Linked DNA regions of Canis lupus familiaris. The protein of the gene in region 1 purifies or fractionates together with the protein of each later gene. This does not show direct contact. Links are inferred from orthologs where the notes say so. Each region holds a gene or a part of one and is shown in the gene's direction. Other genes may lie near its edges.

The links.
Region 2: the proteins of RNF111 (region 1) and SMAD2 purify together in Homo sapiens (affinity purification with western blotting, with the first as the bait; 3 studies listed by BioGRID). This does not show direct contact. The link is inferred for Canis lupus familiaris from reciprocal best matches to the Homo sapiens genes RNF111 and SMAD2.
Region 3: the proteins of RNF111 (region 1) and SKIL purify together in Homo sapiens (affinity purification with western blotting; 3 studies listed by BioGRID). This does not show direct contact. The link is inferred for Canis lupus familiaris from reciprocal best matches to the Homo sapiens genes RNF111 and SKIL.

What each region holds. Positions count from the first base shown.
Region 1 is NC_049251.1:24,253,054-24,257,363, forward strand, and holds the start of RNF111 (E3 ubiquitin-protein ligase Arkadia), read left to right. Parts: upstream 1-1,478; 5' UTR 1,479-1,827; intron 1,828-1,894; exon of another isoform or gene 1,895-2,165; intron 2,166-4,310. UniProt on the Homo sapiens protein: E3 ubiquitin-protein ligase. Required for mesoderm patterning during embryonic development. Acts as an enhancer of the transcriptional responses of the SMAD2/SMAD3 effectors, which are activated downstream of BMP.
Region 2 is NC_049228.1:43,758,115-43,761,704, forward strand, and holds part of SMAD2 (mothers against decapentaplegic homolog 2), read left to right. Parts: intron 1-3,400; coding exon 3,401-3,524; 3' UTR 3,525-3,590. UniProt on the Homo sapiens protein: Receptor-regulated SMAD (R-SMAD) that is an intracellular signal transducer and transcriptional modulator activated by TGF-beta (transforming growth factor) and activin type 1 receptor kinases.
Region 3 is NC_049255.1:35,127,720-35,131,889, forward strand, and holds the start of SKIL (ski-like protein), read left to right. Parts: upstream 1-1,356; 5' UTR 1,357-1,536; intron 1,537-2,399; 5' UTR 2,400-2,456; intron 2,457-2,822; exon of another isoform or gene 2,823-2,885; intron 2,886-3,161; exon of another isoform or gene 3,162-3,237; 5' UTR 3,238-3,863; coding exon 3,864-4,170. UniProt on the Homo sapiens protein: May have regulatory role in cell division or differentiation in response to extracellular signals.

The sequences.
Region 1 (4,310 bases):
GTCAGTAGCCATCCTTCCCCCCAAGTTGTGAACACCAAAAACATGTCTCCAGATATTGCTAAATAACCCAAAGTGGGGGCATAAAATTGTCCCTGCTTGAGAACCACCGATTTACCCCAATATATCCGAAATATCATTTCAACATGTAATGCATATTAAAAATCATTCAAATTTTTACAATTTTTAAATGTATTTTTGAATTGGATATATATTTACCATAGCACTTCTCAACTTGTACTAGCCACATTTCAAGTGCTTGAGAAAAAAAAGATTAGGTCTGGAAATACAGTTGTAGAAATACATGACTTTGAGAAGTCATGAGCTGATAGCAATTGAAATCACGGCAGTAGATAAGATAGTCCAGGAAGGACCATGATTTTATTTTATTTTATTTTTTTCAGGAAGAATTTATTTTCTGAACAAGAAAATAGGAGGATTGAGGAAAATTCCTTCTCCGGTGCTCCTCCAGTTTTCCTGCACAATCTGCGATCCTTTATTATAACTATTTTAAACTATTTTCTTCACAGAACAATATGGAGAACATGAGTGAACAAAGAAAGCGTATTGGGAAAGACAGGCTGATGACCAAAGAAGGGAATTAATGTTTATTGAACACTTAATTGGTAAATAATGTTCAAAGCATTCTATACACTGCCTTATTTCATCTCACAAGAACCCTCTGGGGTAAATAACGTCACCTCAATTTGTCAATAAGGAAACAATTCTTTTTCTTGGTTTAAGAAAGATACCCTTCTATTTTCTTCTTAAATGGAGGTGTAACTGACATTTCATTTTTGGGGGAAAGATAAAGACCTAATAAATTAGACGGCTGTTCATTGGCATCATCGGGATCCGAAAGGTCTGTTTGATTCAAAAGCCTACACTCTCCTCGCCTACATCCATCCTCCTCTTGCACGTAAGGAAGCATTTGCAATCTCCTGCTTTTCATAAAATAACTAAGGAGCCGTATGTGACTGTACAGTCGTTTCCCAGGGTGCCTATTACCACTTTCGATGTGGCTCTGGAAGCGAATCCACTTTAAGGGCAGGGTGCGATGATCTTTATGTCATTAGCGAGTAAGATTTGGGTATCGTTTTCTCGTAAAAGACAGCAAGCCGGGAGGTTTTTGTTTAACTGTAGCCTAAGTGCAATGCGTGATTCTGTGGTTAGCTGCACTTTTCAAGTCACGGAAACAAGAACAGCTGAGGAATAGTTTTTGCTTAAGCGTAGAACACAACAACCAAGGAAAATAAACCAACGAGCTTCACGAAACCGTCCGGCTTCGCTTTACAGACGCGACAAAACGAGCACAAAGGGGGAGGGCTGGGGCGGAGGGGGCGGGGCACCGGGAGGCCAGAGTCTGAGCATGCGCAGAAACAGCGACGGAGGGAGGCGTGAGCGCCGCGGCGCTCTCACTTTGCGAACTGTCGTAAAGCCCCCGACTGTCGCGCTCCCTCGGTAGAGGAGGGATTGGTTAGGCGGCGGCAGCGGCGGCGGCGGCAGGAGAGCAGCGGCGGCGGCGGCGGCGGCGAGGTGTGGGGTCTGCGCCGCACAGAACCGCCCGCGGCTTCGGGGAAGGCGTTCTTGCGGGGGTCAAATCGGGCATCCCGAACCGAAGCCGGGTGAACTGGGCCGAACCAGGCGCTGCCGCTCGTACGGTTTGGCGGCGGTGACAGACGCAGCTCTTGAGTGTAGGGGCCTGTTAGGCCGAGACCTCAGCCGCGGATCACCGGTTCTCGACGCAGCCTCTTCCCCTCTTCCGCCTCCTGTGTCCCTCCCTGGGCAGGGATTTCCCGGACTCTGGGAAGAGGGTGGCTAATGATTAAGGTGAGGGGGGCTAGGGGGGAGGGGATGGATGGGAAGCCGCGCGTGCGCGCGACGGGGGAGGGGCCGGCCCGGAGGGGAGAAAGAGGAAGGGCTGCGGCCGCGGAAGGCTGGGGTCGGCGGCCGGCGGTGCTGCCGGTTCCCCGGTGACTTGGGGTCCGCGGCTCCGCGGGAGGGTTAATTGTGTTTGCGCGGAGCGGCGGTCTGCAGACACACCCACACCCCGCTGTAAGGCAGTGTGGGTGAGGGGCTTTCTCTCCCTCTTTGGACTCTCCCTGGAGTCTAGGAAGGGGGCTGAAGACGGAGGCGTGGGAGTGCGACCTGACAATGGAGTGATGAAGGTAACCCGCCCCCGGGGTGTCGGAGGGCGCTAAGTCGGCCCCGCGGGGAGGGAGTCGCCGCCTCCTGTGCTCAAGGAAACGTCCGCCGAGCAGCGCGCAGACGGACGCGTCAGATTTCGGTGTAGAGTTGGTTTGTCGGTCATTTAAAAAAAAAAAAAAAAAAAAAAAAGGCAGCTCACTGTTTTATTATTGTTCTTAGATAATTTGTCGGAGTCAGTGGCACAAGGCTGTCGTGGCAACGGTCTGCTCCGTACTGTAGAAATAGAGGTTTGCCAGCCATAGTCGTTAAATAGGTCGTAATAGGTCTTTACAGATACTTCTTAAGGCGCATCTAAGTTTCGGTGCTTAAAACACACACACACACACACACCAGGAAGTGTAAGGTATTCATTTAATTTGTTAATGTTTGTAGTGTGAGGCGACTCCATTGTATTGTGCGCTTTCCTGTTTCTTGATTTACGTGGAGTATGAATTTAGAACACTCCGGAGTGATAAGATGCCAGCTGACACAGACTTCATCTTCCAGTTCTTTTAGCTTTCGGACCTTGCTTAACCCAAACTTTATTTCACTTGGTATTTTTTACGTTTAATTTTCTTGTTTTAGGGACCCCTTCCCCCCAAAAAAGAACAGCCTGGGGAAAAGAGAAGCCAAGGTTCCGTTTCCTTTTCCATCCGTGTGTGTGTCATTGCTTTCAAATGTCAGGATAGTGATTTCGTACATCGAAGTTCCATAATACCTAGTTTTACTTAGTTCTATTATGGTGAAGGTCTACATTATGACAGTTTGTTACTACCGTGATTTTATTTTAGCAAAAATTTTCATGTCAATATAAACTATGTTGCTTTTCATATGAAACAGTAGTCTTTTGAGCGCTCTGTGAGACCAAACGCGATGAGAAAGAAGCCTCTTATGCTGCAAAGAATCTAATTTTTTTTTATTTTTTTTAAATTTTATTTTTTACTTATGATAGAGAGAGAGAGAGAGAGAGAGAGAGAGAGGCAGAGACACAGGCAGGGGGAGAAGCAGGCTCCATGCACCGGGAGCCCGACGTGGGATTCGATCCCGGGTCTCCAGGATCGCGCCCTGGGCCAAAGGCAGGCGCTAAACCGCTGTGCCACCCAGGGATCCCTTTTTTTAAAGCCTTGAATTATTTTACTTTTGTTGGCCACTTCTTGGCATTTAACCTCGGACAAAATAAGAGAATAGCAATTTACACGTTTGGAGCAGAGGAGCAGTCAGCAGATATTTGTAGATAGTTATTTTCATTATAAAATTTAAAGTGGGTTTAAAAAAATCCATTGAATCAAACTAATTAGATTTTTTACACATTTAATTATTTTGCCAAAGAGGGGTTTCTGTAACATGCTTTACTTAGAGTATGATTGTCTGCATCCTATTTTTGACTTTTTCCCCTCTGAGCTGAGACTTCCACTAGGAAGAAAAGACAGTGACAGTATTAAAAATGTTAGTGATTAAAGCATGTTAGTAACTTTGATATTAACATTCTGTGGGTGGCATTATCTTATGGAAGGGAATGGGGCTGGAGATCAGAGCTCTGGATTTTAAATCTGTTCCTTAGATCTGTGCCTTTATTGATAACCATCTTTAGTTTCAGATCTCTCTCAATTGCTAGATGAGAACTGTAGGATAGTTTTTTAGTCTTCTCTAGGTCCCAAATTTAATGGTTTGTATTTTTGGTTAGGTGCTTTTGGTACTTGTTGGTGTGTTCATCATGATCCAATTCCTGGAAAGAAGTGTTATATTGAGTGTAAATTCCTTCATGTTTATATTGGTGGTGGGGGTGGGGAGAGAACTATGATAAAGTCATGTTTGTTGCTTTAGATAACGCTTCTGTCTTATTATAGATATTATATATGACTAAATAGCTCTCATACTAAAAGGTGAAACTTCATTTTACTTCTGGTAATGCTCTTTAAATCATCCTAATAATTTTTTCTGTCAGAAACCTATAATCGTTGGTCGCAGTCCAGAATTGGCATTTGAATGTCTTACATCTCTGTTCTTTCTTGTATGCACCTCACCGATTGTTGGTAACAGCTGGCCCACATTTCTGCAGGCATTCAGTTCATACCATTACATGTGGAGTGGGCTACAGATGTTTAAAAACAAATACTAAATTGAAC
Region 2 (3,590 bases), on another chromosome or scaffold:
TGGCACATGATCTAGGTTGTGAAAGATGCCTAGGATTTCAGGTTGGTATGAGGGGTTGCGAAACTATGATGCTGACACTAGCATACAGTTCAGTTCAGCTGGAGTACAGAAAGTAAGAATATATCTGGACAGATCATTAGAGACCAGTGGAATGTAAGGTTAAGAGGTAGAGCTTCATTCAGTAATAGAAGGGCATACTTGGCAGATGTCAGGTGCTGTGCCGTGTTTTCAGTGCAGGACATCACACATTGCGGCCTGGCTAAGAATCACTATTTCTATTGTCTCTTTTTATATGGTTGCAAAAAGTAGTTCAGACTAATACTTAGTTGGAAATAGGCGTAGAAAAGATTTGAGAATTTGCCTAGGGGCACTCTCTACATGGTGGAGAGGAGTCCATGGAGATGGACTTGAGGAGAGCTTTCCTTGCCTCTTAACGCCCTCTCCAAGGGTGGTAGTAACATTACAAAACTGAGTTCTACAGAAGTTAGGTTGTCAGCGGAGGATAAAGCAAGTTAGGTTATTACCAAATTAAAGCATGGACTGGATTCCACATGAGAGGAACAGAAGACTCCCTTAGCATATTTAAGGCTGGAACCATGAGTAAAGTACTTAGTCCTCCTCCAGCTAGTTTTGCTCACTGTGAGCACTCGCATGCAAAGGTATTCATGTACAGTAGTCATCATATTCCTGTTTCTTACCTGGCAGTTTGAGCCTCTTCTTCAGAATGTGTTTCATTTCATTTGGACTTGATTCTCTACCTTCAACAAATTTGGGGAGGTGTGTGTCTCTTGAGATGGTGAAACCTGAGGTCTGCTGGGTGAATACTTTTATAAAAATCAATACTGTTTCGTATATTTGTATCCTAGAATAAAGACTTGTCTTTATTTTGGCCAGGTTATAATTGTAGAAAAATTCATTTAATCATTTCCCTTTTAAGGTGTGATGCTTTAAAAGAGCACAGAGCTCCTTTTTGCTTTGGGCTTGAATTGGCCTGAGTTGATATTAAAAATTAGATTGAGGTGGCACCATCTGATACCAGGCTTTTAGGTCACAGGTTTTTTTTCTTCAAAAGATGAGAATTACAGAACACGATAGTAGAAATTTAGTGCCATTAAACATGAACTGCCGAGAGCGGGGAGACTTACACGTGTGTTTATAGCTCTCCTGCCAAGGGCAGTTTTACTTGGTGGAAGAGAGGTGCTGCCCTGGGTGCACTGTGCACTCTGCCATTCTTAAACCTGGGGAGAATTTAAAAACTGTAATGATGAGAAGCGGTAACATACAGTATGTTTTTATTGGTATATAGTCAGATAGATCTACTTTGGGTAGTAAACTAGTTTCCTTTAACATCTATAGATCAGAATAATGTCAGGTACCTGCTCTCTGTGAACTGTTGGTGGTTACCAGGAACCTTTTATCCTTAATGATGCTGGAGCTGTGGGGGTAGATCTCAGGGCAAGATTTCTCAAACTGTTTTTCAGTTTCTTTATTACCAGCATATTTGCCAGCATAAAAATCAGGAAATGTAGTAAGCAATATAGATGTGCAAAGAGTTTATATATTTAACTGAAGAAATATGTCTGAGTTAAGTGAATTGTTACTGAAGTGAATAAATAGGTAGGGGATAAATAATGTTTTGGGTGCATTTCTGTGCCCAAACAAGACCACTGACAGTATTCTGAAACCTACTCCCCATTCAGTGACTGGATTAGGAATGATTCCCAAAGGTTCATCTGATGAACCTTCTGACTGAAATGATCTGACCGAAAACAAACTGAGAAGTACCCAGAATTCAGCAAATGACAGAATCAAAATTCAAAGAGATCTTGGCAAAAGCCTGCAGAAGGCCTGATCTGAGGGAGAGCTAGAAAGCAGGAGAAACTTCTTTGAGAAACAACAGGAAGAACAGAGGGTGGCAGATGGAGAAGGGTCAGTCTGGCCTCTGCCTCCTGGATTACATGAGCTAACTTGTACAGTGTGCCAGTGCAATGCTAAGCTGCATAAGCCAAAATGTACTGTCCGAATCAAAATACGACCATGGGTTTGTACAGGTCAGATTTGAGACTGTTCCTCAAATCTGTCATGTTTTAGGAATGATCCCATATCAACATCTTAGTGTATGTCTCAGACCCCGAGACAAGGATTCAAATGCTAGGAGTTGGTTCAGGAAATGGAGGACGCACTGGTAAGGAAGGAGGAAATAGAGAAGTGAGGTAGGGGAGGGAAGGCAGCCAAAACCATTATTAAGCCTGCTGCTGTGTTGGGTGGGTCATTAGAGCTTATTCCCCTAGGAAAACATGGGAAACTGTAATGAACGTACAGAATTATCCCACCCAGAAGGAAAGGAAACCGGGTGTTTAAATGCCAGTTCCCATGTCATTGGGTAAGAGCTGCTCCTGGGGAGGTAATTTCCTAGCATTTGTGGTCTGCACATGTGGCCCGAGCAGAGAAGTTGTTAGGCACAGGAATTCAGAGATACGCGATTGTTAGTCGGCAAGAGAATGCTGAAAACTCCAGAGGGTACAGTGCGGCACTGACACCATCTGCTATAGAAAACCACAACCTTTGAGATGCAGTTTTAAGTTATAGTGAGCATGTGTCACTTGGAGCTGAAGGTTTGATAATGGCCTTTTCTTGTGTTTGTAGGGCGGTCACAGTGAAGCAGCAAGCAGACTCGCTGACTTACTGTAGATAATAAATAAGACAGAACTCAGATCAGTATGTGAGCAAGTGACGGGACGTCACTAAACAGTTTGTAGTTCCCAGAGTCCCATTATGTCGAAATGCTGGAGGTGTTTCTATTAAAAGCTTGCACCCATGTTTCTAACAGAGATGTTTCATTGGCCTTGTCAGGGAAGGCCGACCTCTAGCTCTGAACATTCTGTGATAAGCTTCGGTCAGAATTCTGTTTTGTTTTGGTACACTTGAAATTTGAACCCTGTTCTATTTAGACTTGACTTGGTATTTGAGGATCCTCTGCTCTGCGATTGATTAATCAGTAGGGTGACTGTGTTTTTTGGTTTGCTTGGGACAGTCCTGGTTTGAGTCCCTTGTTCCTGGCCTGATTATTAATAGTGACTATTCATTCACTCTGAAAGGTGTCTCGTTTTAGTTGGTAAGTAGTCAGGTCACCCTCCTAATTTTAATTTGAAGAGAAATGAATGTTTTTGTTAATTTCTTTAAAAGCAAAAAAAAAATAAAAGTCACTAGAAGTATTTTGTTAGACTTGGAGGATTAAATAATTTTCAGAGTAATAGCTATTCAGACTTCATACTTGTCCTAAAGAATGTAGGCTTTAGTATATACAGCCTTTTAATTTAACTAAATTCTTAATGCATGTTGTTGAACATCGCCATATTCTTTTAATTTCATAATTATTTTCTTGTATTCTTTTAAATAGAAGGCAGACGGTAACGAGCACTCCTTGCTGGATTGAACTTCATCTGAATGGACCTCTACAGTGGTTGGACAAAGTATTAACTCAGATGGGATCCCCTTCAGTGCGTTGCTCAAGCATGTCATAAAGCTTCGTCACCACTCAGATCCCATCAAAAGACTTAATGTAACAACTCTTCTGTCATAGTATTTGT
Region 3 (4,170 bases), on another chromosome or scaffold:
TCCAGGGAGGAAAAAGGCCTCGGAGCCCGGGGCCCTTCGCAGCCGGCTGGCTCCACCCGCGGACCCCGCAGAAGCGACCTCGAAGCGGTCAAACCAGGAGAAATTGGACAAAAATGGGCGAAAAGGGGGGGGGAAAGAAAAAAGAAAACCAACCCCCCGAGACGAAGCCCGAGTCCTCTGAATTCTGTGCAGTGCAACTCGGGGGCCTATTTCGGTTCCTGATCGTGCGGTGGGGGTGGAGAAAAGGGGATTTCTCGGCGTTTCGAAATGGGACGGAGCACGTCGGCAGAGTTCAGCAGGCTGCTCGGCCACCCGGGGCGCACCCACCCGGGGCGCACCCACCCGGCCCTCGGCTCGCCCCGGGGGCCCCGCGCACTCGCCCCGGCCGCGCCTGCACCGCGTTCCGTGTCCCCCTCGAAAGCCCTCCGTGGGCGGCGGGGAGCGGGGGGCGTCCCGGGGAGCCGGGGGGTCCCGGGGGGGCCGAGGGGGGGCCCGGAGGCGCGGGGGGCAGACGCGCTCGCTCCGGGTCCCGCCGGGCCGGAGGGCGCAGGGCGCAGGGCGGAGGGAGGTCAGGCCGGGGAAGGCGTCCGGGCGGGGGCCGCCGAGGCGGGGCGGGGCGGGGCGGGGCGGGCAGCTGGCGGGAGGCCCCGCGGGGGGGGGGGCGGGCGGGGCGGGGCGCGGGGCCCCCGGCGGGGCGCTGCAGGGCGGCCGCCACCCGGCTGCCTCCGGGGCGGGGCGGGGCGGCCCAGCTGCGGCCTCGCGGGGGGAGGGTCGCCCGTGCCTGACCTCGGGCGGCGGCGCCTCCGCCCCGCCGGCTGCTGGGGTCGCGCACAGTGCACGGCGCGGCCGCCCCGCCCCTCCCCTCCCCTGCGCGCCCCCCGCCCCCGCCCCCTCCCCGTCCCCCTCCCCCTCCCCCGGCGCGCGGCAGCCGAGCGGCCGGGGCGCCCCCGGGTCTGGCCGTCAGCGCGGAGCAGCGGGCGGGGCGGGGCGGGGCGGCGGCGGCCCCAGACAGCCGGCTGGGCGACTCGAGGAAGGAAGGAGGGCGGGCGGCGGGCGGCGGGCGGCGGGCGGCGGGCGGGGGTGGGGCGGGGAGGGCACATCCTGTCTGCGCCGGGTGCACCGCAGACAGCGCCGCGCGCCAGCCGCCCAGACGGCGCGCGAGGAGGCCGGGGCGCGGGGGCGCGCCTGGGGCGGGGGCGCGGGGGGCGGGCGCGGTGGGCGGGGGCGGGGCGGGCGCGGGAGCCCCAGTAGCCAGACGGCGCGCGCCCGGGGGGGGGGGAGCGGGGGGCGGGGGGCGGGGCGGCGGGGGCGCGCGCGCGGGGCCGCCGCCGGCTCGGCTCGCGTCCCCTCCCCCCTGCCCGCCCCCGGGCGGCCGGAGACGGCGGCGGCGTCTGCGGGAAGCCGTGTGTCTCCGCAGTGACGTGGGCGGGCCGAGGGCTCGGTGACGTCAGAGGGCTGTGTGTAGCGATGTGTGTGGGGTTCGGAGCGGCGCCGGCACAGCCGAGGGGAGCGGGCGAGCGGCGGCGGCGGGCACAGGTGCGGCCCCGGGGCGCGGGGGACGCGGCGGCGGGGGGCGGGGGGCGGGGGGCGCTGGGGCCGGGGCAGGGCTCGTCGAGCGGCGCGGGGCAGGGGCGCGGGGCAGGGGCGCTGGGGGCGCGGGGGGGGCGCGGGTCCCGGTCCCGGTCCCGGGTGCGGTCGGGGCGGGGGTCCCGCGGCGGGTCGCGGCTCGCGGACCCCGGGCGGGGGCGGGGGCGGGGGCGCGGGGAGGGCGCGGGGAGGGCGCTGCACTTGACCCGGGCGGTCGGGACCCCGAGACCCGGGCGCGCGGCGCTCCCCGCCCCCCCCCCCCGACCGTCTGCGCTCCTCGGGGATGCCCCGGGCGGCGGGCGGCGGGCGGCGCGGGGATCCCGGCTCGCGCCCCGGGCGCCCGCAGACCCCGCCGCCCCGTGGCCCCGGCGGCCGGGGGTGCAGCCCGAGGGTGCGGGGGTAGCGCCCGGCAACTTCCCGCGGCCGGGGCGCGCGGGGCTTTCCGCAGCGGGGGCAGCGCCGGGAGGGCGCGCGGGGTCGCCCCGAGACTGGGGGCTCCCCCCTCCCCTCCCCCTCCCCCTCCCCCTCGGCGTGCACAGCCCGAGGCGTCCCGGCCTCCCGCCTCTCGGCGCCCCGTCCGGCTCCGCGCAGGGTGGGTGGGCGGGCGCGGGCCGAGGATCTCGGGGCTCGGGGCCCCCCCGCAGGTCCGGCCCCCGCCCCCCCCGCCCCCGCCCCCTGCCCGCGGTGGGCGATCCGCGCCCTGCCCCGTGGCCTTGGGCCGCCACCCTGGGTCCTCCTAAGGTGAACTGCTGGGAGTTGGGGAGGCAGAAATTTCCATTGATTGGATTTCTTTCGGATTCTCGCTCAAGAAGGAAGTGGAAGAAGAAGCTTTTCTCTTTCCCTCTTCCTCCATTTGCATTCTTTGTGAGGTCTGTCTGCCTTGTGTGTGTGTGTGTGTGTGTGTGTGTGTTTTGTCCGGGATTAGTCTGGTTAAGGATGGAGATTCCCAGGAGTGGAGTCCGGGAGCTTTTGGCTTCCATGAAGCACATTCACTAACCTTTTAAAGGGAAAGTTAATTTTTGCCTACAGTCATTTCAGAAAAAAAATAACATACGTGGACTAGGTGAATCCATGCACTTAAAATCGTAACTTAGTTCCATGTGGTAGATATCTTAACTGCTATCTGATTTTTTTTTTGGGGGGGGGATGGAACTGGTGTGTATATATATATATATATATATATATATATATATATATTTATTTATTTATTTATTTATTTATTTTTTTCGATTAAGAGCTGAAGTAATGGATTACGGTAAAGTGGCATACCTGAGAAAGCCTCTGGCACTGAGTTTTGGGTGAGATGATCTATCTAAAGACTCTTCCTATTCTGAGTTGGAGTAGCCCTCCCTCTCCCTTTTGAGGAAGACTATTGCTCCCTTTACCCATTCTCCAGATTGCTTTCCTGTTTAAATGAAGCTCTTCTACTTAACTGGTGCTAAATTTAAAGAAGTCGCTCACCTCACCTTTGGTAAAGTGAACTCAGTCTAAGATTAAGAAACTAGTTTCACACTGACCCTTTGGCCTCTGGAGCAAATTCAAATATAACTCTCCCCCACCCCTTTCTCTTCCAGATTAATTAAAAGAAGAATGAACAGTAATCCATGAAGATAACTGGGCAACCTTTTTTTTTTTTTTTTTTTTTTTTAGGTATCATTTTTAACTGTAGGAGTTCAAGTGGAGTCAAAAGCTCTTCCCACTGGTGTGAGGATTTATACAAGCCTTCAGTTTATCAACACAGACCAACAGATCATCACTTTTAGAGAAGATACTTTTTTTCCCCCTTCTTCCTTTTTTGGTGTCCTCGGTGCCAAAAACTAATTTCGGGAGCGACTCTTTGATTTGTGTTTGTGTCCAGGTTTTGTGACACAGGTAATCACACAAACTTTTCACATGTTTTGCCTAAAACCAAACCAAACCACTGCATTGATTCTGGACTTCTCGAATTGAGAGAATTGTTAAGTGTACTTTAATGCATATATTGGAAGAATTAAGAGAAAAGGCTTCTTCATAGGTGTGCCTCTCAAAATTATATTCTCTATTATTAGCGACAAAAGAAAAAAGTTTATAGCACTGGCAGTGAAATTATACTAGAGCAGAAGCAGAACCAGATCAAGTTGCAAAATCTATTAAGGGGATTTCTCTGAACATTGAGATTTTCTGTGAGAGTAAGTTACCCTAAGTATTGACACATACTGCTTTTCTCTCTTCCAATGAGTGACTAAAAGAACAATGCACATTTCAGACTTACTTATTTAACACGACAGTTTTTAGCCATGGCAAACCTGCAGACAAGTTTTTCCCTGCTTCAGGGCTCCAGTAAAAAACTGAATGGGATGGGAGATGATGGCGGCCCTCCAGTGAAAAAAATGATGACAGACATTCACGCAAACGGGAAAATGATGATCAACAGCAAGATGCCAACCGTGAAGAAGGAACACTTGGATGACTATGAAGTGCCAATGGAAACTGATGGGGAACATGTCAAGCGAACCTGTGCCTCTGTGCCTGAACCTTTACATTTAAACCCCAGTTTGAAACACACTTTGGCCCAGTTCCATTTGAGCAGTCAGAGCTCTCTGG